Pelodiscus sinensis: one gene and its partner. Each later gene encodes a partner of the first gene's protein in a complex. Links are inferred from orthologs where the notes say so. Each region holds a gene or a part of one and is shown on either strand. Other genes may lie near its edges.

The links.
Region 2: the proteins of CFAP36 (region 1) and ARL3 are in contact, whole or in part, in a crystal structure (PDB 4ZI3), measured with the Mus musculus proteins. The link is inferred for Pelodiscus sinensis from reciprocal best matches to the Homo sapiens genes CFAP36 and ARL3. Residues at the interface, in NP_080016.1 of Mus musculus: Glu44, Glu45, Ser46, Lys47, Leu48, Thr51, Glu52, Lys58, Val61, Glu62, Leu65, Glu76, Phe79, Gln80, Cys83, Thr84, Ala88, Lys89, Leu97, Val100, Leu101, Ala103, Glu104, Asp105, Phe106, Thr107, Ile108; in NP_062692.1 of Mus musculus: Leu3, Leu4, Ile6, Leu7, Arg8, Lys9, Leu10, Lys11, Ser12, Arg19, Lys35, Glu40, Pro47, Thr48, Gln49, Gly50, Phe51, Asn52, Ile53, Lys54, Trp66, Ile74, Tyr77, Ser80, Tyr81.

The regions. Positions count from the first base shown.
Region 1 is NC_134713.1:176,411,736-176,426,919, reverse strand, and holds the start of CFAP36 (cilia- and flagella-associated protein 36), read right to left. Parts: upstream 5,541-15,184; 5' UTR 5,329-5,540; coding exon 5,214-5,328; intron 1-5,213. UniProt on the Homo sapiens protein: May act as an effector for ARL3.
Region 2 is NC_134718.1:72,677,557-72,692,451, reverse strand, and holds the start of ARL3 (ADP-ribosylation factor-like protein 3), read right to left. Parts: upstream 6,632-14,895; 5' UTR 6,490-6,631; coding exon 6,487-6,489; intron 1-6,486. UniProt on the Homo sapiens protein: Small GTP-binding protein which cycles between an inactive GDP-bound and an active GTP-bound form, and the rate of cycling is regulated by guanine nucleotide exchange factors (GEF) and GTPase-activating proteins (GAP).

The DNA of each region.
Region 1 (15,184 bases):
ACTCACACCTCCAAGCCAAATATAAATTACTTTTAATGAATCTGTAGCCATGTAAAACCTGCAAAAAGCAGTAAAACCTTTTTTAGTCCTCTAAAGCTTAACTTTTGACAAACTACTTTCATCAACTCATGACTCTAACATGAATAATAAAAGTGTCAACTATCAAAGCAAATGTACAGTAATTCCTCATTTAACACTACAGATGCGTTTCTGAAAATGTTCGTGCTAAGTGAAAATGTGCTATGTGGGGTCAATTTTCCCAATAAAAATAATGAAAAAGGTGGGAGTTGCATTTCAGGTAGTGGTGGTGGCAAAGTCAATTTTTTGTTGGTGCTGGGTCATCAACGTCAACATTACCTATCTAGCAACACAAGATAACTAGCAACACAAGTTGCCGCTGTTTGTTAAAACACAAAGATAAACACGAGTGAGCGGAGAAGTGCTGTGACCACGTGTATTCATTCGCTCATGCGTATTACCACTATTTTCACCAACTTATACTGCCGTGCGAAGTAGTCTGCCACTTGATTATTTTTGTGTTATTTCAGGGACAGTAGTGTTATTCAAAAAACGTTCCCCCCCAAAAAATTATGCTATTGCGAAAACATGTTAAGTGGGCACGTGTTAAACAAGTTATTACTGTATCTTCTTTTCATAAATGTCAAGGCAGTTCTAAGCTTTACAACGCCACACTCCACTACTTATGTTTCCATGCAAACCTTAAAATCCCTCTTTATCAGATACCATGCTCTGCTGGAAGCACAGCGCTGAGTCACTAGGGACTAAGACTCGCAGAGACATTTCAGTGAAGTGTTGCTACCTGGACGCAGATTTAAGTAGGGCAGTGTTTCCCAATTGGTGCTCTGCGGAACCCTGGGGTTCTGCAGAGCACAACGAGGGGTTCCGCGAGGAGCCAGCGCTCCCCCGCCCCCTCTGAAAAAGAGAGAGAGAGAGCCAGCTAGCCAGCAGAGGAGTGGGCGGCGAGTTTTGTGGTGCCCACGCTCCAGCAATATTTGGAGCTGGAACGGGTCTCGACCCCCCCGCGCGTGTCCTCCCACCCCGGCCCCAGAGCGTCTCTCCCCCGTCCCCGTCCCTGCCCAACCTTCCTTGAGCTCTTCCTTGCTGGCTGCTGCTGCCAGTGAGTGGAGAGACACCCGGACGTCACGTAACGTCACAGCGCGGGATTTTAAACTTGCTGGGCGCTGTGATGTGCCGCATGGCTGAGTTGCGGGTTCGGAGTCCGGGGACAGAGCGCAGACTCCGGCCCCACAAAGTAGAAGGTAGAAGGTACGGGAGAGGGGGAGGGGAAGGAGAAGGGGAGAGAGAGGGGAGGTGAGGGAAAGGGCTCGTGCAGAGGGAAAGGGGAAGGGCTGGGAGAGGAAGGTGCTTGTGCGGAGGGGAAGGGGAAGGCACCAAAGGGACAGGGGTGGAGGAGAGACAAATGCCAGGGGGCCAAGCGCAGACAATGAGGAAACGGGCAGGAGGGGAGGTGTTAGTAGGAGGGGGGACAGGGTGATGCTGGCAGAGGAGAGGGTAAGGGCATTGGGGGCTAAAGGGGTGAGGGGAGATGCTGGGAGAAGGCTTGAAAGAAGGGGTGGGCATCAGGAAGGCTGGGATGGAGCAAGTCATGTGAGAGGGCACAGGGGCATGAGGGGAATGGGGGCAGAGGGTGTTGAGGGGTGGGCATCAGGGAAAAATGGAGCGAAGGGGGAGGCACCAGGAGGGTGCAGGGGTAAGGGAAGGTGCAGGTGCCAAGCGATTCTGGGGGTGAAGCAGAAGGGTACCTGCAGGGGAGGGACCACCATCAGAGGAGAGATGCAGGGCAGGTTTGTAGAGGGAGGCGTTAGAAGAGGGGATGAGGAGGGGTAGCTCACATGATCAGAGTGGGGCTACTGGAGAAGTGGGCACAGGGAGGAGAGAAGGGCTGGTGGAGGGAGGCAGGTTGCAGGAGGGCTGAGAACAGTGAGAAGAGCAGGAGTCAGGACAGCAGAGGAGGGTGAGGAGTGGGGAGGCAGCAGGCACCAGGGGAGCTGACATGGCAGCAGAGGGAAAAGGTAGAGGTTTAAAAATATTTATTAATAACTTGGGTGGCACATCCAAACAAGCCATATGAACTCAATACTGGTGCACAACACAAAATTCATTTTGCTTGTGAGGAAACTCTTAGGCTATGTCTACACTGGTTGTTTCTTGCGTAAGAATATCTTGGGCAAGTGTTCTTGTACAAGAACACATCCACTCTTCCATGTATGAGCTGTGCTTTTGCACAAGAGCACCTATGGCAGTTTGGACACTCTCTTGCCCAAAAAAGTGCCGATGGCCATTTTAGCCATAGGGCTTTCTTGCTCAAGAAATTCATGTTGCCTATCTACACTGGCCTCTTGCGCAAGAATAGTTGCTCAAAAGGGCTTATTCCTGAGTGGGAGCATCGTAGTTCTTGCAGAAGAAGCCCTGATTTCATACATGTGAACGTTAGTGTACTTGCGCAAGAACACACGGCCAGTGTAGACAGGCAGCAAATTTTTGCGCAAGACCGGCCGCTTTGGCACAAGATCGTGCCAGTGTAGACACAGCCAAGGGGAGGGAGGAAGGCAAGGACAGGAAATCAGCACTGGCTCAGCATGTCTACACGGTTTGGGGGAAGGTGCAGGGAAATTGAGCTCAGCTGGGTTGCAGAGTGGAGAGGTCTGCGGAGCTGGGTTAGGGTGGGGTGGGGGTATGTGGAGCTCAGAGCTCAGTTTGACTGCAGGCAGAGGGAAGTGCTGGGAACCGGGGCTAGACTCAAGGGGAGGGAGGGACAGGGAATCGGCTCTTGGCTCAGCAGTTTTGTGGGGCTTGGAGGAGGTGCAGGGAAATTGGTCTCAGCTGTGCTGTGGGGGAAGCATGCTGGGAACCAGTGCAGGGCTCAGCTGGGCTGAGGTGGATGGGGGAGGGCATACAGAACAGACAGGCAGCTCAGCTGGCTGTGAGGGGCTGCAGGGAACTGGTGCTGCACTCCCTTGGATTGTGAGGGATGGTTTCAGGGGAAGTGCAGGGAACCAGCAGGGGTGGGCAGCTTAGTTCAGTTGCAGGGGATAGAGGTGCAAAGAAGCCTAGTTGGGAAGGGAGGGGGGGAGAGAAACCAGGAGCCCTGAAATGACCTCCCCTGGTCCAAAAAATCCTCATCTGGGACCAGTCAGGTCTAGAGGGTGCCAGATCAGGGAGGTCCAACTCCTACCCAAGTCCCCTCCTCACACCCTCCCTTGTAGCCAGACACCCTACATCCAGCCTGCTTCAGCACCCTACCTACCACGCAGACCTTGTCCCCTTCTGCCCCCCAGCTCCCTCCCAGATCCTGCACCCCATCCCAATCCCGCTCCTTTGCAGCCCTGTCATCCACCCTAACACCGCCCTGGCCCCAGCACCTTGCCTCACACCCCAGGACTCAGCACCGCCCCGGCCCTGGCCCCAGCCCCAGCACCCTGCCATCCACGCTAGCACCCAGCAGCACCCTGTTCCTTGTCCCAGCATCCTGCCAGTCACCCTAGTGCCCAGCAGGACCATGTACGTGACCCCAGCACCCTGCCACCTGGGCCAGCATCCTTCCACCCAGCAGCACCCTCTCTCCAGCCCCAGCACTCACTAGCACTCTGTCCCCTACCCTCACCAGCACATTTGGGACATTAGTGAGACATGGGGGGGTTTTGGAGGAGCTTTTTTTTGTTTTTTTGCATCTCACTTGTGTGGCCCCAACTGACTTTTCTGTGGGTCAGTGACCTTTGACTCAAAACAGGTTCCTCACCCCTCTCATATCTAAAGACAATGCTAAAACCTTTTGAGTTTGACATATTTTATTTAAAAATTAAGCCAGGCCAACAAGCCCCCAATTGAGACCAAATCCCCATTTCACTGCAGCATCATAACACTCCTGCACCACCTGACCCCAAATCTGAGCCTATCATACACTGGAATCCCCGTCCTGAGCCTCTTACATCCCCAAACTCCTGCATCCCCACATCCTCAGTCTTCTGCCACAACATTCCTCCACCATCCACACATCACAAATCTGTGTCCTGAGCCATAGAACTGGAAGAGACCTCAGAAGGTCATCAAGTCCAGGCCCCTGCTCTAGGCAGGACCAATTCCAATTATATCAACCCGGCCAGGGCTTTGTCAAGCCGAGACTTAAACACCTCTAGGGATGGAGACTCCACTACTTCCCTAGGTAACCCATTCCAGTGCTTCACCACCCTCCTAGTGAAATAGTTTTTCCTAATATCCAACCTGGACCTCTCCCACCACAACTTGAGAGCCCATCATACTCACAACCTTATTGCCCTGAGTCCCTCACATATCCAGCCCAAACTCCTGCACCCTCACATGCACAAGCCCTGGCTTGCTCAGCACCCCAACTTTCCACCTGAACCCAACACTCCCCAGCCTAGAGCCCCCTCCCTGAGCCAACAGCCCCTTCTCCTGCATCCAAATTCCCTCCCAGAGCTTGTACTTCTCACCCCTTCCCACACCCAAATCCCTCATTCCCACCCCACACCTCACTCTCATTAGGTTGAGACAAGTATAAGGGCTGGAGATAGCAAGTGATGGAGAGGAGGGGAACAGAGCAGCTGAGGCCTCACAGAAGGGAGATGGGGGGTATGTGTGTCTTGGGGAAGGAATGTGATTTTCATGAATTGGTGGGTCCCTCTCTCCTCCCCCGCGCCCTACCTTTTTTTTTTTTTTTTTTTTTTTTGCTTGACAAGCCATGGGGTTCCTCAAAATTCTGAAAAGGGTTCCTCGGCCAAATAAAATTGGGAAACACTGAAGCAGGGGTTTAGTGCTCTCTGAGCAGCCCCTCGGAGAAGGACGGTGCGTCCCCAGCGGCCACTGACCCCAGCAGACTGAGGGCCCACGGACACGTCTCTCTCTCCCCTCCCAACAGTGGTGACAGAGCGCGGGGGAGGTGGCGCTGCTGTGGCCGGCCGGCCGGCCGGTCCTCCACTCCAGAATCTGGTGGGGCGGCGCTGACGCCAGAAGAGGCGCTAAGGTCTGGAGGGAGCAGGGGGCGGTAGCTGCACCTGCCCTCGCGCTCCGGGGTTCAAGCCGAGGCTGACCGGAAGGAGCCTGGTTCAGGGCCTGGCAACGGGCGCCGAGCGTCTCTCCACGGGCCTAGCAACGCCCTGCGCAGCAGCGGGAGGGGGAGAGCAGGCGGACAGGCTCCCGCCCCAGCTTCTCACCCGCGCACTTCTGCTCCATGAACTCCAGGATGGGGGTGGACCAGGCGGGCCCGCGCAGGAAGCCGGCGATGCTGTCCACCACCCACTCCACGTCCGCCTCCCTCTCCGCCGCCATCGAGGTCGGGCTGCGGCGGCGGCGGTTGGGGCGCTACTAGCTCGCTGGCGCAGCTCTCGTCACACAGGGAGCGCGCGCGCCCCCCGCGGAGCATTCGGTCCGCTCGCGCGCGCGCGCGGTCTCTCTCCCTGCCGCGATGCAGGTGTGAAGCGCGCGGCAGCGGCGTCACCCGGGCACGGGCCAGGTGGTGGGGGAGAGGCGCGTGGGGGCGGGGCCGCGGCCGGGCCGTTCTGGCCTTCGGCTGCGAGGCCTCGCGCTGTCGCTGGGGGCGCGCGCGGCAGCTCGCGGCCTGGAGAATGGAGAAGCGTTTGAGCCCCGTTGCGGGGTCCTGCTGCTGCTCCTGGGCTGCAAACAGCCGTGCGACGTCCTGCCCTTGGCTGTCGCCTCCTGGGCCCGGGGAGGAATTTCCCCCTGCTCTAGGCTCTTTTGCAGCTGGATTGAACAGCCCCTGAACCTGGAGCTGCTGCAGCACGATAGTTACGCTGGGCGACCCCCCTAGCGCGCTGGTATAGCGCAGCATCCACAGCCCCATACCCCGGGAAGAGGTGAGCCGTAGTGGCGCATTTCTGGGAAGAGGTAGCTCCGTGCGGTAACTACCGGCTGGTGCAACCCTTCCCAGTGCTGTGGAGACAGGCTCCAAATACTCTGAGGCTATTTACCTCGTCCCAGCCCTCTGAGATCTGTTTCCATCCCCATTTTCTAAATGCTGTTGTAGTAAAATATAGTAAAGACTATGTGTGCTTCTTCCCCCTTCCATTACTTAAGCTTGAAACAGCACATATCATTTAGCTAATTGCGCATGTTTTAGAAGCTGAAGTAAAAAGGGGAACTAGCTGTTTAGACCCATTTCTCAAGGACTGGAGTACAGGTATTACTTGAGTTAGGGAAATTTGCTAATTGCTATTGCTTAAGTAAGCTGTACTGGTGGTTGTTACTGAATGGAATAGAGTTGAAATATGCTAACCAATAACGCGGCAACACGAAGCTAAGGTAACAAATCAAGACGTGCCAAGTTAGATAAGAAAGTTAAAGAAAGTATAAAAAGGATGCTTAGCCTACGCTCAGGGTCGGCTCTGCTTTGAACATTGAGTTCCTTAGCCGTACCTTGGTTGCAACCAATAAACTTGAGTTGGACCCAGCCTGAAAGTGTGACTCTCTTCTTGGGGTAAATCAGACTAGCCTCCAAGGGGACGAAACCAGAAATTTATGCAACACTGTATCGGAGTAGCAGCAATCAGCTGTCCATAAGATACCCATGAGAGGGCTTTTAAGAGACTTTCTATATTGCTTAATAGCAAGTATAACTTTGGAGCTGTACCCTTTTTAAGCATTTGTGAGAAATAACAAAAACCGAGATGGAGATAATCTGGTTCACAGAAATTATCACCTCTGATTCCAGTATTTTGCTACTGTCCCATGCTGTTCTAGAATTTACATGAGTGACTGACAACATGCAAGTACTTAAAAAAACACGAATATTCTAGCAGCACCTTAAAGACTAACAGGACATGTAGATGGTATAATGAGCTTTGGTGGGTACAACCCACTTCTTCAGCTTCTACCTGTTTTGTTAGTCTTTAAGGTGCTACTAGACTATTTTTAAGTTTTTCCAGTTATAGACTAATTTGGCTACCCCCTGAAGCTTTTGTACATGCAAGTAGTTGTATTGGGAAAACGTAACTACAGGATGATACATTCTTCTGTCTTTATTAGGATGCCTAAACTCTGATGAATTTTAATTATAAGTGGCTTTTTTACAACAGCACAATGTGAAAGATCAGAATAAACAAGCTACCCAACAATTACTACAGTACACTATCTAGGGGATATTGATCAAAGCCCTCAAGTAAATAACAAATTGAAAAGATTAATTTATTTAAACCTGGAAACAAAGTTCCGTCCAACTCGAATCATTTTCATTGTATTGATCTTACACAGAGATTAACATAACTAAACCTTGGCAATATAATCTGAGACAAATGTAGCTGCCTACATTTCAAATGATGAAAAAACTAACAAATTAGAAGATTTGTTCAAGGCATATATGTTGCTATTCTGCAGTCAGGTGTTGTGTACTAAATAATTGGTCCCAGATGAGACCATTTCAGAAATGGAAGACTTTGCTGAGTAAATTGAATCTACTATGCCAGATCTATGCTACAGACATATAGTAGTATAACTATGTCACCCAGAGCTGTGAAAAATCCACACCTCTGAGCGACATTCGTTATACTGACCTTAACCCCCTATGTAGACAGCACTATACTTCTCCCACAGACATAGCTACTGCCTCTTGAGGAGGTGGATTAATACACAGACTGGAGAGCTCTCCCTTCAGCATAGGAGTATCTTCACTGAAGCACTTCACTGCTTCTGTGTAGCTGCGCAACTACCTGGCAACAGTCAGCAACACCCATCAAAGGACACTTTGTTTCAGTCTGTTCCCCCCAGGTTCTCTTAAACCACATCCACCTGCAACCCAACTAATGCCCTTCTGATATTTTTGTCTTCTCAATAGAAACAGTCATTCTATGTAGGTAGGCAGACCTCTTAGAACCCATACAGCACATACAAGCCTTGGATGGTATGCAAGTAGGTGGTATGCTCTTGGTCGATGAAATACAGAGAGAGTTATTCATGAGTGGGAACCTATACCCAGATAAGAAACTCTCCTTACTGTGTGATATCTTTTGTTTCTGCCATCATTTTGTATCTTTTGGTCTCTTTCTCTCTTGCATCTACCTTTTCCTTGATTATGTTTATGTTACTATGTATTTACACGCTATTCTTGGTGAAGCGTGCATTGTTAAATTCTAACCAATCCACAGTTTGTGTCCCACTCTAGGTCTGAGTACACTGTAGCACTGTTTCTTCCTTTAGTCTCTGAGACTCAAGAACCTCATAGTGCCAACTGCCAAGAGAAACAGGGTGCCCACATAAGGATTACAAGGATCTCCAGTCTCTGATGTGTACATTCTAGCTCCCCAAGAATGTCATGCAAGGTCTCTCATAAAAGCTGGCTTTACACTGGTCATCAATATAACTGTGAAACAAATGTACAGATGTTGTGTAAGGAGTTGTGTATATCTATACACTTTGGCTACGTCTAGAATGGCATGATTTTCCGCAAATGCTTTTAACGGAAAAGTTTTTCCGTTAAAAGCATTTGCGGAAAAGAGCATCTAGATTGGCACGGACGCTTTTCCGCAAAAGCACTTTTTGCGGAAAAGCATCTGTGCCAATCTAGACGCAGTTTTGCGCAAGAAAGCCCCGATCGCCATTTTTGCGATCGGGGCTAATTTGCGCAAAACAATACCACGTTGTCTACACTGGCCCTCTTGCGCAAAAGCATTTGCACAAGAGGGCTTTTGCCCAAACGGGAGCAGCATAGTATTTCCACGAGAACACTGACAATCTTACATGAGATCATCAGTGTTCTTGCGTGAATTCAAGCGGCCAGTGTAGACAGCTGGCAAGTTTTTCCGCAAAAGCAGTTGCTTTTGCAGAAAAACTTGCCAGTCTAGACGCAGTCTTTCTGTTGTTAGGACCTGTGTCTAGGGACTGATCACCAGCAAAGATAAACAAGTTTTTTGATGCACAAGAATTGTTTATCTAGTTGACTATTTACATATAAATTAAATATTGTATTGTTCACAGTGGACAGATCAAAGGCTTATACAAGTGTATTTAGGGGCAAAGAAGACACACCGTCATCCTTATTATGATGTGAATTGACTGCAGATTTTACTTCATGAAAGAGAGATTTCAAGGAGGATTTGTTGAAAACGCTGGTAAGAATGTAGGGTGAAAAGCCTCTTTAGACAAGAGGAAAACTTAGTTTAGTCTCTAGAAAGCATGATGTGATTTTGTTTTGTTTGTAATCATTTGTTTCTAATATTCTTTCTGTTGTTGAATCTCTGTTCTTTGATAAAAAATATATTTTTGATAATAAACATGTCTTAAGTGCTGTGATGTTAAGCAAAGTTATGGCCCTGAGTTGAATATTAGAAGCTGACATGCACTGTTTCTTTGGGAAAAGCAGGCCAGGCATTTCTGTGAGTGATCAGTGGATAGGTGGCTAGACAATGCGTGGAATGCTCTTGGAGGCCTTGAAGGTTGGCATTAATCTATTGCTACCTGTCTGAGAAACTGAGGCCTGAAAGACAGTGCTTGTATTGGCAGCAGCTGGTGGATTCAGGGAGCGGTTCCACAGCAAAGACAGATAAGAATTCCTCATACTAAGGGCAAATGAGGGTGAGGTAACTCACAACCTCTCTGGCACAGCTGAATACAGCCTCTTTGTCTGTTACCCCTTACATAAATGAGTCGATGCTGCCCAGCTTCTCTAGGTCCCCAGGACGATGCTGACCACTCACACTTTTCAGTAACTTAAGCATACCTATCTAAATAGCATGCCTATCCATCATGAATGGGCGGGGTTCTACCCTTTTCTCGACATCCCAGCAATTCAGTTAACTAAATTGCCTGTAAGAGTTAAACCCAGAGACAGTGAGTAGTTGAGAGTCTCCAGAAACTGTGGACAGGGGAGCCAGGAGAGCCAATGAAAACAGTGTTAGTTTTGAATTGAAGTAGGACCTTCCCTGCTGCAGTCTTTGTGTGATCTGAGCTGAGGGAGATGAGTTAAGCTAGGAACAAGGCATGGAATTTCCAGTGATATCTATGCCTGGGGGAAAGACTAAACTTTGGAACAACAGAGGTGTGTATAGAACAGGGTAGGGATGTTAAATTTTGATTAATCGGCTAATTGAGGAGTCAAATGGAATTTCCATCAGCTACTCGATTAGTCGATAAGGAGGGTGCTCACTATCCTGCTGCGCCTCTGCCTTTGAAATGTACAAGAACCATCCTCTTCAAAGGAAGAGGCAAAACAGTCCCCTCTCGCATGGGTCTCTACTGCTGTGCCTCTCCTTTTAAAATGTACAGGAGGGCTTATCGGGTAGTCGACTAGTCGCTTACATCCCTAGACCAGGGACTGTTTAGTCAGATATGTTCAGGTTATTTTATTTATTTTGGAGTTTGTTGAACTCTTCTGTTCTGAGCCCATTTCTCCCTGTTGACTTTTAAAGGAAATCCCAGGAAAGCAATTCTCTGTTTTTAATTTGCTTTTTTTCAGTTTCTCTGTAACACCAAATATGCTTTACCAAGTATGTCGTCTTCATTTTGTTAATAAAATAACCTTTTAAGACTATAATCTGAATCCTGTGTCTTAGAAGGCATTTGGTTTGAATGTGCATGTTTGTGAGACTGAAAGGTCAGCTATTAAGAAATTAGTTTTTCAGGCTCTCTCCAGTGGGAGAGTTAAAGAGCTTGAGAGAATACCCCACAGGAAAAAATTCCCAAATACTTCTTCCTGGGTTCTCAAAGGGATTTTTGTATTTGGGTAGTGGCAGCATACCATCCAAGGTCAGGGAATCTGTGACCGTGGGGAGTTTTTAACCAGAAGCATTTAGTGGCAGGGTATTTTTAAAGTCTTTTGTGCAGCCTCTCCTTCTGCACTCAATGTGCCAGAGAGGGACCAGCCTGAGAGCCATGGATATTTTTAGTGCAAGTCATGGTCAGATCCCAGGCAATAAACAGAAGCCTGGGATCTTAATGGAAGCCTGTGACATGTTCCTGACTTTCACAAAAATGACCCTGACAAAATGGGGAGATGAGATCAGCACCCACTGTTGCTGGGGATCTTAGATCCTCTGCTGCTGTGGGGAGTGGGAGCTCCAGAGGCCCCTGCCCATGGGGGCTGAGCTGCTCCAGGGTCTCCTCCCCTCCCGTGGCAGCTGGGCATTCAGAGGGTTGCCTGCTGTCAGCTATGGGAGGATCCCCTGCTGCCCACCATGGCTGTACAGTTACAGAAGTTCCCCCATAAGTTATACTCCCTGGAGCTAAGCAGCTTCAAGGTTTCCTCACCTGCTCAGGGGCTGAGAGCTGCAGTCCTAGGAAAAGCGACGAGGAGGTCACTGGTACATTCTCCTGCACATCCACCAACGTAATATATGCCATCATGTGCCAACAATGCCCCACTGCTATATACATCGGCCAAACAGGACAGTCCCTACGTAAAAGAATCAATGGACACAAATCTGATATTAGGAATGGCAACATACAAAAACCTGTAGGGGAACACTTCAATCTTCCTGGACACACAATTGCAGATCTAAAAGTAGCCATCCTGCAGCAAAAAAACTTCAGGACCAGACTTCAAAGAGAAACTGCTGAGCTACAGTTCATCTTTAAGTTTGACACAATCAACTCTGGATTAAACAAAGACTGTGAATGGCTTGCTAACTACAAAAGCAGCTTCTGTTCTCTTGGAATTCACACCTCCAGATCAGCTGCTAGAAGTGGGCCTCATCCTCCTTGATTGGATCCACCTGGTCATCTCCAGCCTGATATTTATTTATTTTATGGCCTGCATATTTATTCCTGCCTCTGGAAATTTCCACTACATGCATCTGACGAAGTGGGTCTTTGCCCACGAAAGCTTATGCTCCTACACTTCAGTTAGTCTATAAGGTGCCACAGGACTCCTCGTCGCTTTTGCAGATTCAGACTAACACGGCTACCCCTCTGATACTTGACTCCTAGGAAAGAATATGTCACAGAGGTCAATGGAAGTAATGGATTCTGTAACTTCCATAACCTTGACATAATCATAATAATAATCATTACTTCTAATACAACTCCAACCATGTGGAAACTCTGGGTTAACAGTTTAACTATTTAGGGACACATAATAGTGAAAAGCAAACAGTCATATAGCCTTTGTAAGAATTCCTGCCTTGGCTTCCCTATCACTCTGGAGGTAGTCTGGGTTTTTGGCACAGGAGTCTTCTCTACAGCACATGGCTTCTCTTTGAAATCATGGAGTCTCTTTCCTTCCTTTAGGTCCGCTAGTTTTTGTCTTCCTTGGTCCCTCAATTAAACGGGACCCTTCCTCCTCCATCCCAGCTAAATCTTTTACTTTCTCCTGTCCTAAGCCTTGTCTTCTTTATTCTGAATTAATCACATTAGATTGTCCCACCCCGACCACCAGCTTCCTTTGTTCTATGTGTCTCCAAACCCCAACTTCTGCAGAAAAGTTGGTGCAAATTGACTTCTTCCTACTTTCTGCTCTGTCTGGACCAGATCTGTTAATTGCTTAATAGCCCTTAATGGCTGACTGTCTTATTTGAAGAAAAACTTGCAGACTCCATTTCCTCCTTTTCTCCGCCCCTTGGAGAAAGCTATGTCATATTTTTTAACATTATATGTAAATATCAGAATGTGAAAAATCTTGTTGTTTAGAAGCACAGGAAAGGGTGTCTGGAATGGACAAGTGAAATTAAATGGGAATTTTTGTAATATTTTTATTAAGACTATGTGTGCCTCGGTTTCCCTATATGTTGTTTTGCTACCATGTGGGGGAAAGAAGATTAACTCTGCTTTCAGAACAGACCAAAAATATAGGGGTGTAAGTGTTACCAACCTGTCTGAGCAGACTGAATAAGGCATTAAACGGACTAGCCCATGCAGCTAGCACTCAATAAGCCAGAGAGAGAATCGTTTCCCCACCTCTCAGCACTTATGAATTCAGTCTCTGCCTGGAGAGCAAAGGACTAGGAGGTGACCAAGAAGGAATAATAATTGATTTCTGAAAGAGGTTGGCTGCTCTCCATAGAAAGTAACTGAAGAGCCAGAGAGAGAGAGAGAGAGAGAGAGAACACAAAATGAAATCCACTACAAGTTGGCTTGTGAATTGCTCTGCCTTGACCAGAATTGACTATCCTTTAATATTTATCTCTTTATGCTAACATAATGACTTCCAGTGCTTTGTTCCAGTTGACTAATAAGTCTTACTCTATTTGAAAAATTGCTTGGGTGTCCCTACAAATACTGAAGTGCATTGGTAGAGCCTTGCATCTTCAGATATCCACTTTATATCTGTGGCTATCTGCATTCACAGATGTGGATGCAGATATCTGTGGCTCATTTTAGGAGATACAAATGCGGATACAAATTTTGGATGTAGAATCATGTAAGTTTGCAGCTATCTGCGTTGTATATGTGGATGTGGATATTCACGGATCATTTTTTCAGATGCGGATATCAATTTCATATTCACGTAGGGCTCTATTTGTTAGTTCCTGAATAGTGTAAAATACTCTACCAGGAGTCTCTTTTTCAGCAGTTCTCAGACTGTGGATTGGGACCCCAAAATCTGTCGCATCTAGGGATTTGAAAGTGTAGCCATGTAAATGGTTAACCAATGAGCCTAGGCTCCTGGACGGGAAACCAGCTTAAAAGCTGGCTCCCGGTGTGAACCAGCTCCCAGGAAGATGCCTGATACAGAGTCAGCAGCACTGGGTGGTAGGTGGGGAGCTGGTATGCCGAGGGACAAAGGCAGCAGCGGGAGGGGGGTGGGCCGGGGCAGGTGGAGGGATGAGAGCTGGTATGGGAAGCTAGCTCCCTGCACTCACTGACTCCCAGAGAGCCGCCTGCTGCCTATGCTGCTGCCTCTGATACAGAGGCAGCAATGTGGGGCAGCAGACAAGAATTGGTATGCAGAGGGAGCCAGCTTAAAAGATGGAGTCACTTCTCATTCCATCTGAAGATGGCTGTTCGTTCCAGGTTACTGTTTCTATGTAATGTGTCCTGCCCAAGAGACAACCCAGCTGGGAAGACAGTAGTGGCCTTCCCTATGTGCTTCCGACCTGAGCCCAGCTGCCAGGGACAGGAGCTGAATATCCAGGGGGTGGGAGGGCTCAGCAGAAGAACGACAGAGCCCATCCCCTCTGTATCCCAGCAGACCAGGTAGGAATTTGGGCTGTTTAATCCTGCATTCCTCCTTACACATCATTTACTGTGTGGCAGCTCCTGGAGCCAGTGGGCTGCAAAATGCAGTGCAGACAGAGATTCAGTAAACAGTTGGGAGCTGCAGGGAAGGATTGCTGAGTGTAAGGGAGGTGTACCTAGGGAGGCATGACCCAAGTTGCTTGGGGGAGGCCAATCTTTAAATTGTGGCCTCTGCCCGCCCGGCTGTCAGCATGTAGTAGCTGTATCTGCCACTCTCTGAAGCATCTGGTTGTAGTCACAGTCATACAGGGAATTGGACTAGATCCGTGGTGTCCAGCATGCTAGCCATTAGCCACATGTGGCAATTTGGCTGGTTGAGCATGGATAGTTCACTATATTAGTAGCCATCACTGCTTCAGAACTGGTTGGACACCACGGGACTCAAACTTTGTGATACCACAACCCCCCTCTAAGTTGCTCACAGCCCCCCAGTAAGTTGCTCGTGACCTCTTCCCCCCCTCCCCCCCGGAGGGTCGGGACCCACAGTTTGAGAAACGTGGCTATAAGTCAATTGTTGTATTATCTATCAGCTTGAAGGGAGATCGGAAACAACATATTCTGAAGAAATACCACACTGACAATGAATACTCAATAGCTAAGTTGTATTCTGTATGATCAGATCTAGGCTTCAAGAAAGGTGCAAGACGTCCACAATATTAGTTAGGCACTAAAAGTTCTACTTTCAATTAAAATAGTATTGATAATATATTAACATTTAACTTGTGGTCTTAGATGGGAAGCAATAGACTTTTTTGTTAACATGAGGACAAAATGAAACATAAGACCAGAAATTAGAGCCTGATGCACTGAAAATAAGAATAAAAATAACTCAGCCATGATTTTTTAGTCCCAGCAGAATGCACAGAAATGTCTTTAAAGAACCACAACAGTGCCTACATTTCAATTCATTTGAGAGAATGGGCCTATACTCTGAAAACAGAAACAAGAATACTTTCTTGTCAAGCAATTACGTTTTAAGTGGCCAGAATTGTTTTCTGCCAGTTAG
Region 2 (14,895 bases), on another chromosome or scaffold:
AATTTAAAGATAGAAAGGTTCCTAATTTAGGCCTGCTCTGGGATTTTGGGGGAAATTCTAGGCCCTGTGTTACAGAGGAGGTAAGACTTGTTGATCACAAGGGTCCCTTATTGCTTTAGAATCTATGAATTGTTCTCTATGACCACTGGAGGCAGGAATAAGAAGTTATGGGTTTAACCTGCAGCAAGGGAGATTGACATTGGATATTAGGAAAAACTTTCTAACTATAAAGGTGGTTAAAGCTTTTCAATAAGTTTCCAAGGGATGTTGTAGAATCCCCTTCATTGGAGGTTTCTAGGAACAAATTAGACAAACACCCGTCAGGGATGGTGTATGTTTACTGGATCCTGCCTCATCATAATGGACCGGACTTGATGATTTCTCAAGGTCCCCTCCAGCCCTATGTTTCTCTGATTCTGTAAATCAGTGTGTTAGTGTACAACTTAAATAAGCATAGATGTACCCAACATGAATGCCAACTCTCTTTTATGCACAAATTCTACTTCCTTAGAAGGATAATGCTGCTAAACAGAGACACACCCACATTTCCCACCATTCTGCTTATTATTTATGGGCTTGATCTGAAGCACACTGAAATCAATGGGAGTACTTACTTTAGGGGGCTTTGAATCAAGTCCTATTATCGTGGTTTACTGCTCAAGCTAATAAGGCTGATAAAACGTTAATCCTGTTCACAATACTGCTTGCTAAGAGTACAGCAATACATTCCCAGAGCAGGCCACTAACTAACTCTCTCTCTCTCTCTCTCTCTCTCTCTCTCTCTCTCTCAAAATACTTCTCAGGAGAGGAATGAAAAACAAATGTTAATAGATCCTCTCCTACTGCAGAATGACGAACTTCCAAATTAACACAACAGTCTACAAGAAATAAGATCGGCATCATTCCATATTCTACTCAAGTGACACTTCTTGTTACATGGTTGATCGCAGGATTATCTGGGTTAGCCAATAGAGAGGGGGTTATTTATAGAAATAAAAGTATTCTTTGAGGTATTAAGTAAGCTGATTTAGAAGGCTAGAAGAAAAGCAAACCAATGTATGGCTGTGGACTCTACTTCAGTAGCTCTCTTTGCATATATATTATATGACTCGTGTGCAGTTAAAAATTGCAGTCCAGTTTAAATCAAGACACTAACTCTAGTGTCTACCAATAATTCAAAAACATTACTGTTCTGAAGTTATATCTAATTATTCTGATGCTAGTAAACAGCTATTTAATACCCAGGAAAAGCATCACTCAGTAAAATCCATGGGGATTTTTATAAATTCAGCTTTATAAATATTTGATACATGGACTAAAAAAGTATTAAGTGCTCCTTCATGGTTTAGCAGACTAGAAAAAGTAACAATTAATGTACTAGCTGCATGACTCCAGAATATGGCAATGACACATGCAGATGGACTGATTGTTTTACTTGCAAACAAAATATCTGAATTAACTTTTGAATGGGAAAACCATAAATGTGGGCAGTACACAGCAGTGTTATAGATATTGCAGTAGAGTTATGGATGTTCCAGGAGGCAAAGCAAGGATGTTACAAAAGCAAACTGTGAGTTACATTAGTGCCAGGGCAGCTGGGCTGGTAGCGCAAGAATTGAGATGGGTGATGTGGGAGGTTCCTAGGTTCAGGAGCAGAACAAGTCTTCAACTGGGATCAAAGCACATTGTCCAGAAGAGCTGCACTGACAACTTGTTAGGAGCGTGAGGGTTACATGTAATTTGCATAGAACCGAGCAGATTGCAGCATTTTCAATATGGTGGGCATAATTGTGGAAGCCACTCAGATAGTGAAGCCCTGTGTGCCAGGATATATGGTCTCGACAGGCAACACCCTTGAGATGAGGGTGGCCATACCGGGCAGTTCCAGAAGTGACGTTGTGTATTAAGCAAACACAGTAGTCTGTTTTAGTCTTTGATTGAGTTGTACGAGAGACCAAAATACACACTATCTTCCAACAGGAGAGTAACACTCGGAGGCCACCAGTAAAATAGCTACATTTTCTGGAAGCTGGGTGGAGATATTAAAAAAGCAAACAGAAAACCACTCGGCCATTGCCAAGAAATTCAAACCCATTATTAAATACTATATATACTGTTGGGTGGCAAATACACTCAAAAAGCAAATTAGATAAGAAAGAAAAGTTATCCATCAGCATCCTTCAGAGAATACAAATATGTGGCTTTATGAAAACATAAATTTCTAGATTGAAAACCTCCACTGAACAGAGGTCTTTTGATTATAGCTACGTGCGCTACATTTGTTTTCTTAATTCACAGATATAAAAATACAATGACATTTACAGTCCTAAGTTCTGGCAGGTTTATGAAGCTTTAAATCCAAGCTGTGTGGATTTCCAGAACTAGTTGGTGCACGCAACCACATCCTGTGCCATAGAGGCTGTTGAAAGAAAAATTCACATTTACAGGCCAAATTAGAGGTTGGTTGGGGGGGAACCAAGCATTGAAATAAACTGCAAATTTAATATCAGAGTTAACAATACAAACTATGTAACGGAGAGAGCTATTTCACATTATGATATGGACTAGAAATAGCACATGGAGCCTGCCAGACACTCCAGAGGAGAGTCTTGCCCGAATAGGAGGAGAAACAAATATCTGCTCTTTTGTTGTATTAGCCACAAAGCTCGGATGATGAATTTAGATTATAAATACGGTGTAAACTGCCTGCAGATGTTTACCTAGTAAATGTGGCATTTAACAAAAGATCAAATACATTTCTACTGAACTACAGCGCTGCTGAAAAGATAATTCTCCTAGCCAACAGCTTGACCATGCCCCCTCCCTGCCTTTTGTTTGCCTCCCTTCACTGGCATGAAACATACGCTACTCCTCGGTACTTTCAAGACTTTGCAGCATAACCCCATCCTACCTATCGTCGCCCATTCAGTATCAAGATGCTGACTCGATAGGGCCACGATAAGGTGGGTGCATAATTGGCTGGATAACCGTAGTCAGAGAGTTGTTGTTAACGGTTCTAAATCCTGCTGGAAAGGGATAACAAGTGGAGTTCCTCAAGGGTCTGTTTTGGGACCCGTACTGCTCAATATCTTCATCAATGATGTAGATATTGGGATAGAGAGTACCCTTATTAAGTTTGCAGATGATACCAAACTGGGTGGGGTTGCAACTTCTTTGGAGGATAGGGACATAATTCAAAATGACCTTAGCAAGTTAGAGAAATGGTCAGAGGTAAACAGGATGAGGTTTAATAAAGAGAAATGCAAAGTGCTCCACTTAGGAAGGAACAATCAGTTCCATACATACAAGATGGGAAGCGACTGTCTAGGAAGGAGCATGGCGGAAAGGGATCTAGGGGTCATAGTGGACCACAAGTTGAATATGAGTCAACAGTGTGATTCTGTTGCAAAAAAAGCAAATATGATTCTAGGTTGTATCAACAAGTGTGTTGTAAGCAAAACTCGTGAAGTCATTCTGCCGCTCTTCTCTGCACTAGTTAGGCCTCAGCTGGAGTACTGTGTCCAGTTCTGGGCGCCACATTTCAAGAAAGATGTGGAGAAATTGGAAAGGGTACAGAGAAGAGCGACAAGAATGATTAAAGGTCTAGAGAACATGACCTATGAAGCCAGGCTTCATGAACTGGGCTTGTTTAGTTTGGAAAAAAGAAGATTAAGGGGGGACATGATAGCGGTTTTCAAATATCTAAAAGGGTGTCACAAGGAGGAAGGAGAAAATTTGTTCCTCTTGGTTTCTGAGGACAGGACAAGGAGTAATGGGCTTAAAGTGCAGCAGGGGAGGTTTAGCTTGGACATTAGGAAAAAATTCCTAACTGTCAGGGTGGTCAAATATTGGAATAAATTGCCAAGGGAGGTGGTGGAATCTCCCTCTCTGGAGATATTTAAGAACAGGTTAGATAGACATCTGACAGGGATGGTGTAGACGGAGCTTGGTCCTGCCTTGAGGGCGGGGGGCTGGACTCGATGACCTCTCGAGGTCCCTTCCAGTCCTATTATTCTATGATTCTATGACTCCTGCCTCTGATCAGCCCATGGTACAAGCCTCCATTGTCCATTTGTTAAATTTCAGGACAAGCATTTTTGTGCTTTCTTCTAATCAGACTTAGGAAGATTTCCTGTAAACATCTGCAGAGCTACCTCATTCGCCTTCTTCAAAACCCTCCTTTTCCATTATGTCTACAAAAGTATTGACCACACTTTTAAGTTGTGCCAAGATCACTGCCTTCCATGCTGACCAGCATTGTCTCGTTTCCCTGTACTCTCCCACTGGTCTATCTTCATCTGCGGTCTCTTATTTTAGGCTGTAAGCTCCTAGTTCCTTTCCCTATCTTTTTGTTCTGTGTTTGTACAGTGCCTAGCACAGTGGGGTCCTCACCCATAACTGAGGCTCCTGCACTCTGCAGTAGTGAGTAATAATAATTCTAAAATCATTGCTTAAGACAGAGGATGCCAGCAGGAAGGTTTCACTGCATTTATATAGTATTTGCCAGTTCGGATCAAACAAATGGTCTACTGAGTCTAATATGCCATCAGTGGTGGCTAGTAGCTGATGTTTCATTCCTAGTTCATTGTGTAATTCTGTACACAGCGTGTAAGGGTGCACACTTACTGCAGCCGATTAGCTGATGCCCTGAAGAAGTCTGATTACCTTTCTCTTAGCCTGCATAACTATCGCTGTTATATAAAAGCACTAAACCTTTTTCAAAACAATGGGAGCATCTTAATCTATTAAGCACAGGTTATTCAGTACTACTACTAACACAGGCAAAATTAACTCAATTACTTGTTATGCAAACTCTAGACTATGATATCAATCAATGCATACATTTTCCCCCCTGCATTTGCTGGAGTCAATTCACCTAGAATGTTTTTCCCGCTCAAATCCACAGACATAGTTTTCTTGCAAAAGTGGTCCTACAAAATGTAATTAAATGTCAACACAGATGTTGGAAGCTGTTAATCTTTTTCCTTCATCGTTTGTCAGCATATCCCAAACTTTACAAAGCAGAAGTGCAACTTTGTCAGCAACCACTGCCCAAGTGAAAGCGTAGTTTGTGGAGTGCTACACTGCATTATGTAATTGCCCTCATCTTAAAGCAGATGTATTTCCTGCGATGAACACTGTGTCTAGTATGTAAAGCTGCCCCACCATCAACTAACCAGCAAAGGAGCAGAGTCCCTACCTAATCTTTGTCTCCACATCTTTTATGATAGGTCAGGGTAAAGCATTGCAGGCTAGAATGGGTGAGGAATATAGCATGCAACATCATCACAGTAAAGATGCTGCATGTGCTATGTTCCTAGCATGCTATCCTTGTAGCTCCACAAATAGGGGAAATATGGTTGCCCCTTGCCCTGGACCAATATGTGCAAAACTAGGCCCACATCTCTATGGACCAGAGGACTGAATGCAGCCCCCTATATGTAGGGTTACTGGAAGCTGTTCATCCCTTTGTCCCATTGTCATAAGCTTGTCCCTTTAGTTTCTGCACACAGCCAGCAAACCCACCATCCTGCCCTAAGGCTAGTCCTCCTGCCCCTGCACACGGTGGGATGGGATGCTTCCCTGCAGCAGTTGTCTCAGCCCCTTCCCACCCTCGCCCCGTATGCCTGAAACTTCTGAGTGCCTGCCTGTCCTTTCCCTTTCAAGAAGGCTCCCAGGCCGGTTCCCCATTCCTCCCTCCCTCCCTCTTCATAGCACTCCAGCACCCATCCTACCCTCTTCATCCAGGCCTGGCTCTCAGAACCCCAGGCCCCAACACTGCTTCCTCCCCACCCAGGCTGACCCCTCCAGTCCCTTCCTCATCTAGACTGGACCCCCATCCCTCTCTCCATAGCACCTTAACCCCCCACCCCATCTCATCACCACCCATCTCTCCCCAGCCTGGCTGTGACCCTCAGATCCCCACCCTCCCCCCAGGCTCAGTCCCAACACCCCAGTCTCCCCTTCCCACCTCCCCCTGAGGCTCGGTCCCAACACCCCAGCCCCCCCCCTCCCCAGGCTCAGTCCCAACACCCCCTTTTCCCCTTCCAGGCTCGGTCCCAACACCCCAGCTCCCCCTCCCCCCCAGGATCGGTCCACACCCCAGCCCCCCCTCCCCCCCAGGATCGACCCCAGCCTCCCCCCAGGCTGGGTACCAACACCCCCTCCCCCCCAGGCTCGGTCCACACCCCAGCCCCCCCTCCCCCCCAGGCTCGACCCCAGCCCCCCCCCAGGCTGGGTACCAACACCCCCTCCCCCCCAGGCTCGGTCCACACCCCAGCCCCCCCTCCCCCCCAGGCTCGACCCCAGCCCCCCCAGGCTGGGTCCACACCCCCGCCCCCCCTCCCCCCCAGGCTCGACCCCAGCCCCCCCAGGCTGGGTCCACACCCCAGCCCCTCCCTGGCTCTCCATATCACCCGAGCCCCCCCAGCCAGGCTGCCCCCCGCCCCTCCCCCACACGGCAGGACCCTCCCTGGCCGCACTCACCATCCTCCGCGCGGCTCCCGGGTTACCATGGGCAACTGCGTCATGCGCGCCGCCCCCTTCGTGCAACGTCACTCTTCTCTGCGGCACGCACTAGCGGCAAGGGGGCGGGGACAGACGTAAGCCCCGCCCCCTGGCGATCCCCCCCTCCCCTCCTTCTCCCCGAGCAGGGCGGCCCCTGTCCGGCGCATGCGTCTTAAACCGCCTTGGCTCCCAGGTCCCATGCTGACGCGAGCAAGGTGGGAGGCTGGCTCTGATTGGCTGACAAGGGCCACGCGTTAGGGAGAGGGGCGGTGAAAACCACGTGTGCCGGAGAGAGGGAGAGGGGCGCGTGCCTGGGCTGCGGAGGTAGGGAGCAGGGAAGGAGCCTAATGGGGAGGGGTTTAGAGGGAGAGCGGTGCACCAGTGCAGGGCTCAGGGGTACTGCACTGCAAGGGGGGCTGCAGGGGGGGGGGCAGTGCAAGGCTGAAGGGGCCTGGAAGGCTGCAATGGGGGCTGCAGTGGGGGGGCAGTGCAAGCATCAAGGGGCCTGGAAGGCTGCAATGGGGGCTGCAGTGGGGGGGCAGTGCAAGCATCAAGGGGCCTGGAAGGCTGCAATGGGGGCTGCAGGGGGGGGGGCAGTGCAAGCATCAAGGGGCCTGGAAGGCTGCAATGGGGGCTGCAGGGGGGGGGCAGTGCAAGCATCAAGGGGCCTGGAAGGCTGCAATGGGGGCTGCAGGGGGGGGGCAGTGCAAGCATCAAGGGGCCTGGAAGGCTGCAATGGGGGCTGCAGTGGGGGGGCAGTGCAAGCATCAAGGGGCCTGGAAGGCTCCAATGGGGGCTGCAGGGGGGGGGGCAGTGCAAGCATCAAGGGGCCTGGAAGGCTGCAATGGGGGCTGCAGGGGGGGGGGCAGTGCAAGCATCAAGGGGCCTGGAAGGCTGCAATGGGGGCTGCAGGGGGGGGGGCAGTGCATGCATCAAGGGGCCTGGAAGGCTGCAATGGGGGCTGCAGTGGGAGGGGGGCAGTGCATGCATCAAGGGGCCTGGAAGGCTCCAATGGGGGCTGCAGGGGGGGGGGGGCAGTGCAAGCATCAAGGGGCCTGGAAGGCTCCAATGGGGGCTGCAGGGGGGGGGGGCAGTGCATGCATCAAGGGGCCTGGAAGGCTCCAATGGGGGCTGCAGTGGGAGGGGGGCAGTGCATGCATCAAGGGGCCTGGAAGGCTCCAATGGGGGCTGCAGGGGGGGGGGGCAGTGCAAGCATCAAGGGGCCTGGAAGGCTCCAATGGGGGCTGCAGTGGGAGGGGGGCAGTGCAAGCATCAAGGGGCCTGGAAGGCTGCAATGGGGGCCGCAGGGGGGGGGGGCAGTGCAAGCATCAAGGGGCCTGGAAGGCTGCAATGGGGGCTGCAGGGGGGGGGGGGCAGTGCAAGCATCAAGGGGCCTGGAAGGCTCCAATGGGGGCTGCAGGGGGGGGGGGGCAGTGCAAGCATCAAGGGGCCTGGAAGGCTCCAATGGGGGCTGCAGTGGGAGGGGGGCAGTGCAAGCATCAAGGGGCCTGGAAGGCTCCAATGGGGGCTGCAGTGGGGGGGGGCAGTGCAAGCATCAAGGGGCCTGGAAGGCTCCAATGGGGGCTGCAGTGGGAGGGGGGCAGTGCAAGCATCAAGGGGCCTGGAAGGCTGCAATGGGGGCTGCAGGGGGGGGGGCAGTGCAAGCATCAAGGGGCCTGGAAGGCTGCAATGGGGGTTGCAGGGGGGGGGGCAGTGCAAGCATCAAGGGGCCTGGAAGGCTGCAATGGGGGCTGCAGGGGGGGGGGCAGTGCAAGCATCAAGGGGCCTGGAAGGCTGCAATGGGGGCTGCAGGGGGGGGGGGGCAGTGCATGCATCAAGGGGCCTGGAAGGCTGCAATGGGGGCTGCAGGGGGGGGGGGGCAGTGCATGCATCAAGGGGCCTGGAAGGCTGCAATGGGGGCTGCAGTGGGGGGGGGGGCAGTGCAAGCATCAAGGGGCCTGGAAGGCTGCAATGGGGGCTGCAGGGGGGGGGGGGCAGTGCAAGCATCAAGGGGCCTGGAAGGCTCCAATGGGGGCTGCAGGGGGGGGGGGGCAGTGCAAGCATCAAGGGGCCTGGAAGGCTGCAATGGGGGCTGCAGTGGGGGGGGGGCAGTGCAAGCATCAAGGGGCCTGGACGGCTCCAATGGGGGCTGCAGGGGGGGGGGGGCAGTGCAAGCATCAAGGGGCCTGGAAGGCTGCAATGGGGGCTGCAGTGGGAGGGGGGCAGTGCATGCATCAAGGGGCCTGGAAGGCTGCAATGGGGGCTGCAGTGGGGGGGGGGCAGTGCAAGCATCAAGGGGCCTGGACGGCTCCAATGGGGGCTGCAGGGGGGGGGGGGCAGTGCAAGCATCAAGGGGCCTGGAAGGCTCCAATGGGGGCTGCAGGGGGGGGGGCAGTGCATGCATCAAGGGGCCTGGAAGGCTCCAATGGGGGCTGCAGTGGGAGGGGGGCAGTGCAAGCATCAAGGGGCCTGGAAGGCTCCAATGGGGGCTGCAGGGGGGGGGGGGCAGTGCAAGCATCAAGGGGCCTGGAAGGCTCCAATGGGGGCTGCGGGGGGGGGGGGGCAGTGCAAGCATCAAGGGGCCTGGAAGGCTCCAATGGGGGCTGCAGTGGGGGGGGGGGCAGTGCAAGCATCAAGGGGCCTGGAAGGCTCCAATGGGGGCTGCGGGGGGGGGGGGCAGTGCAAGCATCAAGGGGCCTGGAAGGCTCCAATGGGGGCTGCAGGGGGGGGGGGCAGTGCAAGCATCAAGGGGCCTGGACGGCTCCAATGGGGGCTGCAGGGGGGGGGGGCAGTGCAAGCATCAAGGGGCCTGGAAGGCTCCAATGGGGGCTGCGGGGGGGGGGGGGCAGTGCAAGCATCAAGGGGCCTGGACGGCTCCAATGGGGGCTGCAGGGGGGGGGGGCAGTGCAAGCATCAAGGGGCCTGGAAGGCTGCAATGGGGGCTGCAGGGGGGGGGGGGCAGTGCATGCATCGAGGGGCCTGGAAGGCTGCAATGGGGGCTGCAGGGGGGGGGGGCAGTGCATGCATCGAGGGGCCTGGAAGGCTCCAATGGGGGCTGCAGGGGGGGGGGGCAGTGCATGCATCGAGGGGCCTGGAAGGCTGCAATGGGGGCTGCAGTGGGGGGGGGGCAGTGCAAGCATCAAGGGGCCTGGAAGGCTCCAATGGGGGCTGCAGTGGGGGGGGGGCAGTGCAAGCATCAAGGGGCCTGGAAGGCTCCAATGGGGGCTGCAGGGGGGGGGGCAGTGCATGCATCAAGGGGCCTGGAAGGCTCCAATGGGGGCTGCAGTGGGAGGGGGGCAGTGCATGCATCAAGGGGCCTGGAAGGCTGCAATGGGGGCTGCAGTGGGGGGGGGGGCAGTGCAAGCATCAAGGGGCCTGGAAGGCTGCAATGGGGGCCGCAGGGGGGGGGGGGGGGCAGTGCAAGCATCAAGGGGCCTGGAAGGCTCCAATGGGGGCTGCAGTGGGAGGGGGGCAGTGCAAGCATCAAGGGGCCTGGAAGGCTGCAATGGGGGCTGCAGGGGGGGGGGGCAGTGCATGCATCGAGGGGCCTGGAAGGCTGCAATGGGGGCTGCAGGGGGGGGGGGCAGTGCATGCATCGAGGGGCCTGGAAGGCTCCAATGGGGGCTGCAGGGGGGGGGGGCAGTGCATGCATCGAGGGGCCTGGAAGGCTGCAATGGGGGCTGCAGTGGGGGGGGGGCAGTGCAAGCATCAAGGGGCCTGGAAGGCTCCAATGGGGGCTGCAGTGGGGGGGGGGCAGTGCAAGCATCAAGGGGCCTGGAAGGCTCCAATGGGGGCTGCAGGGGGGGGGGCAGTGCATGCATCAAGGGGCCTGGAAGGCTCCAATGGGGGCTGCAGTGGGAGGGGGGCAGTGCATGCATCAAGGGGCCTGGAAGGCTGCAATGGGGGCTGCAGTGGGGGGGGGGCAGTGCAAGCATCAAGGGGCCTGGAAGGCTGCAATGGGGGCCGCAGGGGGGGGGGGGGGGCAGTGCAAGCATCAAGGGGCCTGGAAGGCTCCAATGGGGGCTGCAGTGGGAGGGGGGCAGTGCAAGCATCAAGGGGCCTGGAAGGCTCCAATGGGGGCTGCAGGGGGGGGGGGCAGTGCAAGCATCAAGGGGCCTGGAAGGCTGCAATGGGGGCTGCAGGGGGGGGGGGCAGTGCAAGCATCAAGGGGCCTGGAAGGCTGCAATGGGGGCTGCAGGGGGGGGGGGGCAGTGCAAGCATCAAGGGGCCTGGAAGGCTCCAATGGGGGCTGCAGGGGGGGGGGGGCAGTGCAAGCATCAAGGGGCCTGGAAGGCTGCAATGGGGGCTGCAGTGGGGGGGGGGCAGTGCAAGCATCAAGGGGCCTGGAAGGCTCCAATGGGGGCTGCAGGGGGGGGGGGGCAGTGCAAGCATCAAGGGGCCTGGAAGGCTCCAATGGGGACTGCAGTGGGGGGGGGCAGTGCAAGCATCAAGGGGCCTGGAAGGCTCCAATGGGGGCTGCAGGGGGGGGGGGGCAGTGCAAGCATCAAGGGGCCTGGAAGGCTCCAATGGGGGCTGCAGTGGGGGGGGGGCAGTGCAAGCATCAAGGGGCCTGGAAGGCTCCAATGGGGGCTGCGGGGGGGGGGGGCAGTGCAAGCATCAAGGGGCCTGGAAGGCTGCAATGGGGGTTGCAGGGGGGGGGGGCAGTGCAAGCATCAAGGGGCCTGGAAGGCTCCAATGGGGGCTGCGGGGGGGGGGGGGCAGTGCAAGCATCAAGGGGCCTGGACGGCTCCAATGGGGGCTGCAGGGGGGGGGGGCAGTGCAAGCATCAAGGGGCCTGGAAGGCTGCAATGGGGGCTGCAGGGGGGGGGGGCAGTGCATGCATCGAGGGGCCTGGAAGGCTCCAATGGGGGCTGCAGGGGGGGGGGGCAGTGCATGCATCGAGGGGCCTGGAAGGCTGCAATGGGGGCTGCAGTGGGGGGGGGGCAGTGCAAGCATCAAGGGGCCTGGAAGGCTCCAATGGGGGCTGCAGTGGGGGGGGGGCAGTGCAAGCATCAAGGGGCCTGGAAGGCTCCAATGGGGGCTGCAGTGGGGGGGGGCAGTGCAAGCATCAAGGGGCCTGGAAGGCTCCAATGGGGGCTGCAGTGGGGGGGGGGGCAGTGCAAGCATCAAGGGGCCTGGAAGGCTCCAATGGGGGCTGCAGTGGGGGGGGGGGCAGTGCAAGCATCAAGGGGCCTGGAAGGCTCCAATGGGGGCTGCAGTGGGAGGGGGGCAGTGCATGCATCAAGGGGCCTGGAAGGCTCCAATGGGGGCTGCAGGGGGGGGGCAGTGCATGCATCAAGGGGCCTGGAAGGCTCCAATGGGGGCTGCAGGGGGAGGGGGGCAGTGCAAGCATCAAGGGGCCTGGAAGGCTCCAATGGGGGCTGCAGGGGGGGGGGGCAGTGCAAGCATCAAGGGGCCTGGAAGGCTCCAATGGGGGCTGCAGTGGGGGGGGGCAGTGCATGCATCAAGGGGCCTGGAAGGCTCCAATGGGGGCTGCAGGGGGGGGGGCAGTGCAAGCATCAAGGGGCCTGGAAGGCTCCAATGGGGGCTGCAGGGGGGGGGGGCAGTGCAAGCATCAAGGGGCCTGGAAGGCTCCAATGGGGGCTGCAGTGGGGGGGGGCAGTGCATGCATCAAGGGGCCTGGAAGGCTGCAATGGGGGCTGCAGGGGGGGGGGGCAGTGCAAGCATCAAGGGGCCTGGAAGGCTCCAATGGGGACTGCAGTGGGGGGGGGCAGTGCAAGCATCAAGGGGCCTGGAAGGCTCCAATGGGGGCTGCAGTGGGGGGGGGCAGTGCATGCATCAAGGGGCCTGGAAGGCTGCAATGGGGGCTGCAGTGGGGGGGGGGCAGTGCAAGCATCAAGGGGCCTGGAAGGCTGCAATGGGGGCTGCAGGGGGGGGGGCAGTGCATGCATCAAGGGGCCTGGAAGGCTGCAATGGGGGTTGCAGGGGGGGGGGGCAGTGCAAGCATCAAGGGGCCTGGAAGGCTGCAATGGGGGCTGCAGGGGGGGGGGGCAGTGCAAGCATCAAGGGGCCTGGAAGGCTCCAATGGGGGCTGCAGGGGGGGGGGCAGTGCAAGCATCAAGGGGCCTGGAAGGCTCCAATGGGGGCTGCAGGGGGGGGGGGCAGTGCAAGCATCAAGGGGCCTGGAAGGCTGCAATGGGGGCTGCAGTGGGGGGGGGGCAGTGCAAGCATCAAGGGGCCTGGAAGGCTCCAATGGGGGCTGCAGTGGGGGGGCAGTGCAAGCATCAAGGGGCCTGGAAGGCTCCAATGGGGGCTGCAGGGGGGGGGGGCAGTGCAAGCATCAAGGGGCCTGGAAGGCTCCAATGGGGGCTGCAGGGGGGGGGGGCAGTGCAAGCATCAAGGGGCCTGGAAGGCTCCAATGGGGGCTGCAGTGGGGGGGCAGTGCATGCATCAAGGGGCCTGGAAGGCTCCAATGGGGGCTGCAGGGGGGGGGGGGGCAGTGCAAGCATCAAGGGGCCTGGAAGGCTGCAATGGGGGCTGCAGGGGGGGGGGGCAGTGCAAGCATCAAGGGGCCTGGAAGGCTCCAATGGGGGCTGCGGGGGGGGGGGCAGTGCAAGCATCAAGGGGCCTGGAAGGCTCCAATGGGGGCTGCAGGGGGGGGGGCAGTGCAAGCATCGAGGGGCCTGGAAGGCTGCAATGGGGGCTGCAGTGGGGGGGCAGTGCAATGGGATAGAGTGCAAGCCCCAGGGAGTCTGAAGGGGGTGGGGAGCCCAATGTCATGGGGACTGCAGTGTAAACCTCAGGGTCTGAGAGGGAAGTGTGGTGAAATGGGTGGCTGTGTGCCCCTGGGGGAGGGGAGGTGCAGTGTGTTGGGTTGTAGTGTATAAATGGAGGGGTCAGAGCAGTGTTTTTTGGGGGGGGGGGTGCTGACTATAGCCCAGAGGGTCTGAGAGGAGAGGGAGGGTGAGCGTGAGCTGCATGCGGAGGGGATGTTGTCGGACAGGGAATGGGGTGTATAAATGGAGGGGTCAGAGCAGTGTTTGGGGGGGGCGGTGCTGACTATAGCCCAGAGGGTCTGAGAGGAGAGGGAGGGTGAGCGTGAGCTGCATGCGGAGGGGATGTTGTCGGACAGGGAATGGGGTGTATAAATGGAGGGGTCAGTGCAGTGTTTTGGGGGGGGGCGGTGCTGGCTATAGCCCAGAGGGTCTGAGAGGAGAGGGAGGGTGAGCGTGAGCTGCATGCGGAGGGGATGTTGTCGGACAGGGAATGGGGTGTATAAATGGAGGGGTCAGAGCAGTGTTTTGGGGGGGGCGGTGCTGACTATAGCCCAGAGGGTCTGAGAGGAGAGGGAGGGTGAGCGTGAGCTGCATGCGGAGGGGATGTTGTCGGACAGGGAATGGGGTGTATAAATGGAGGGGTCAGAGCAGTGTTTTGGGGGGGGGGGTGCTGGCTATAGCCCAGAGGGTCTGAGAGGAGAGGGAGGGTGAGCGTGAGCTGCATGCGGAGGGGATGTTGTCGGACAGGGAATGGGGTGTAGCATAACTAGGGGGGGAGCACAGTGCCGAGTCCAGGGTCTCCTGGGAAAAGAGCAGAGCAGTGCAGCCTTCTCCCCTCCCCCCTCCCCGGAGTGCTCAGAGGCGAGGGTGGTGCAGTCCGATAAGCATATCGTTGGCAGAGGCGAGGGGGAGTGAGAGGTGAGCCCAGACAGATGGGGGGGGGGGGTAGAACCCGGCAAGGGAGCCAGGGGGGTGAGCCAAAGGGGTGCGGTGAGATGTGGGCAAAATGAGAGGTGGTGTCCTAGGAAGGTAACTTTGGTCGCTGTGTTTTGGATAGACCAGTGGTGGTGATCAGGGATGTGAAGGCTTAACCAGTAAGACTTAATGAGTGAGGGTTACTGCTTAAGGTTAACTGGTGGGATGGGGGCAGGCTGCAGGCAGGGGCTGCTCTGGCTGGGTTGGAGCAGCCCTGCCTGTGGCTGAGTGGCTGTGATCCAGCCCAGAAGCAGGAGTGACCTGCGGGGGAGGGAGGGTGTCCCCGCTTCTCCCTTTAATTGTCTAATCAGTATATTTAGGACGCATTCAAGGGTTAGGTCTTGGAAATGCAGCAGAGGGAGAAGCTGTACGCTCTACGGTGCTGGGTTTGGCCAGTGCCTGAGTTGATGGGTGGGGCCTAAGTGATTGACAGGGAGCAAGCAGGGATTTCCTCTGACACACTGTACTTGCTGTGGCTTGGGTCATGTCACGCTGCCATGGGTGCCCAGCTGCAGCCTCCTGCAAGGAATCAGAGGAAGAGGGAGTGTGCTAGCCTGGGCTAAGCAGTCGGGTGAGGGGGAGCCTGGTTCTGTGGTAGGGACTGAGGGCAAAGACTGGCCCCGAGGCTCCTTGAAACCCTGCAAGCAAAGTCCTCTGTTGCAAGAGCAGGAATCTT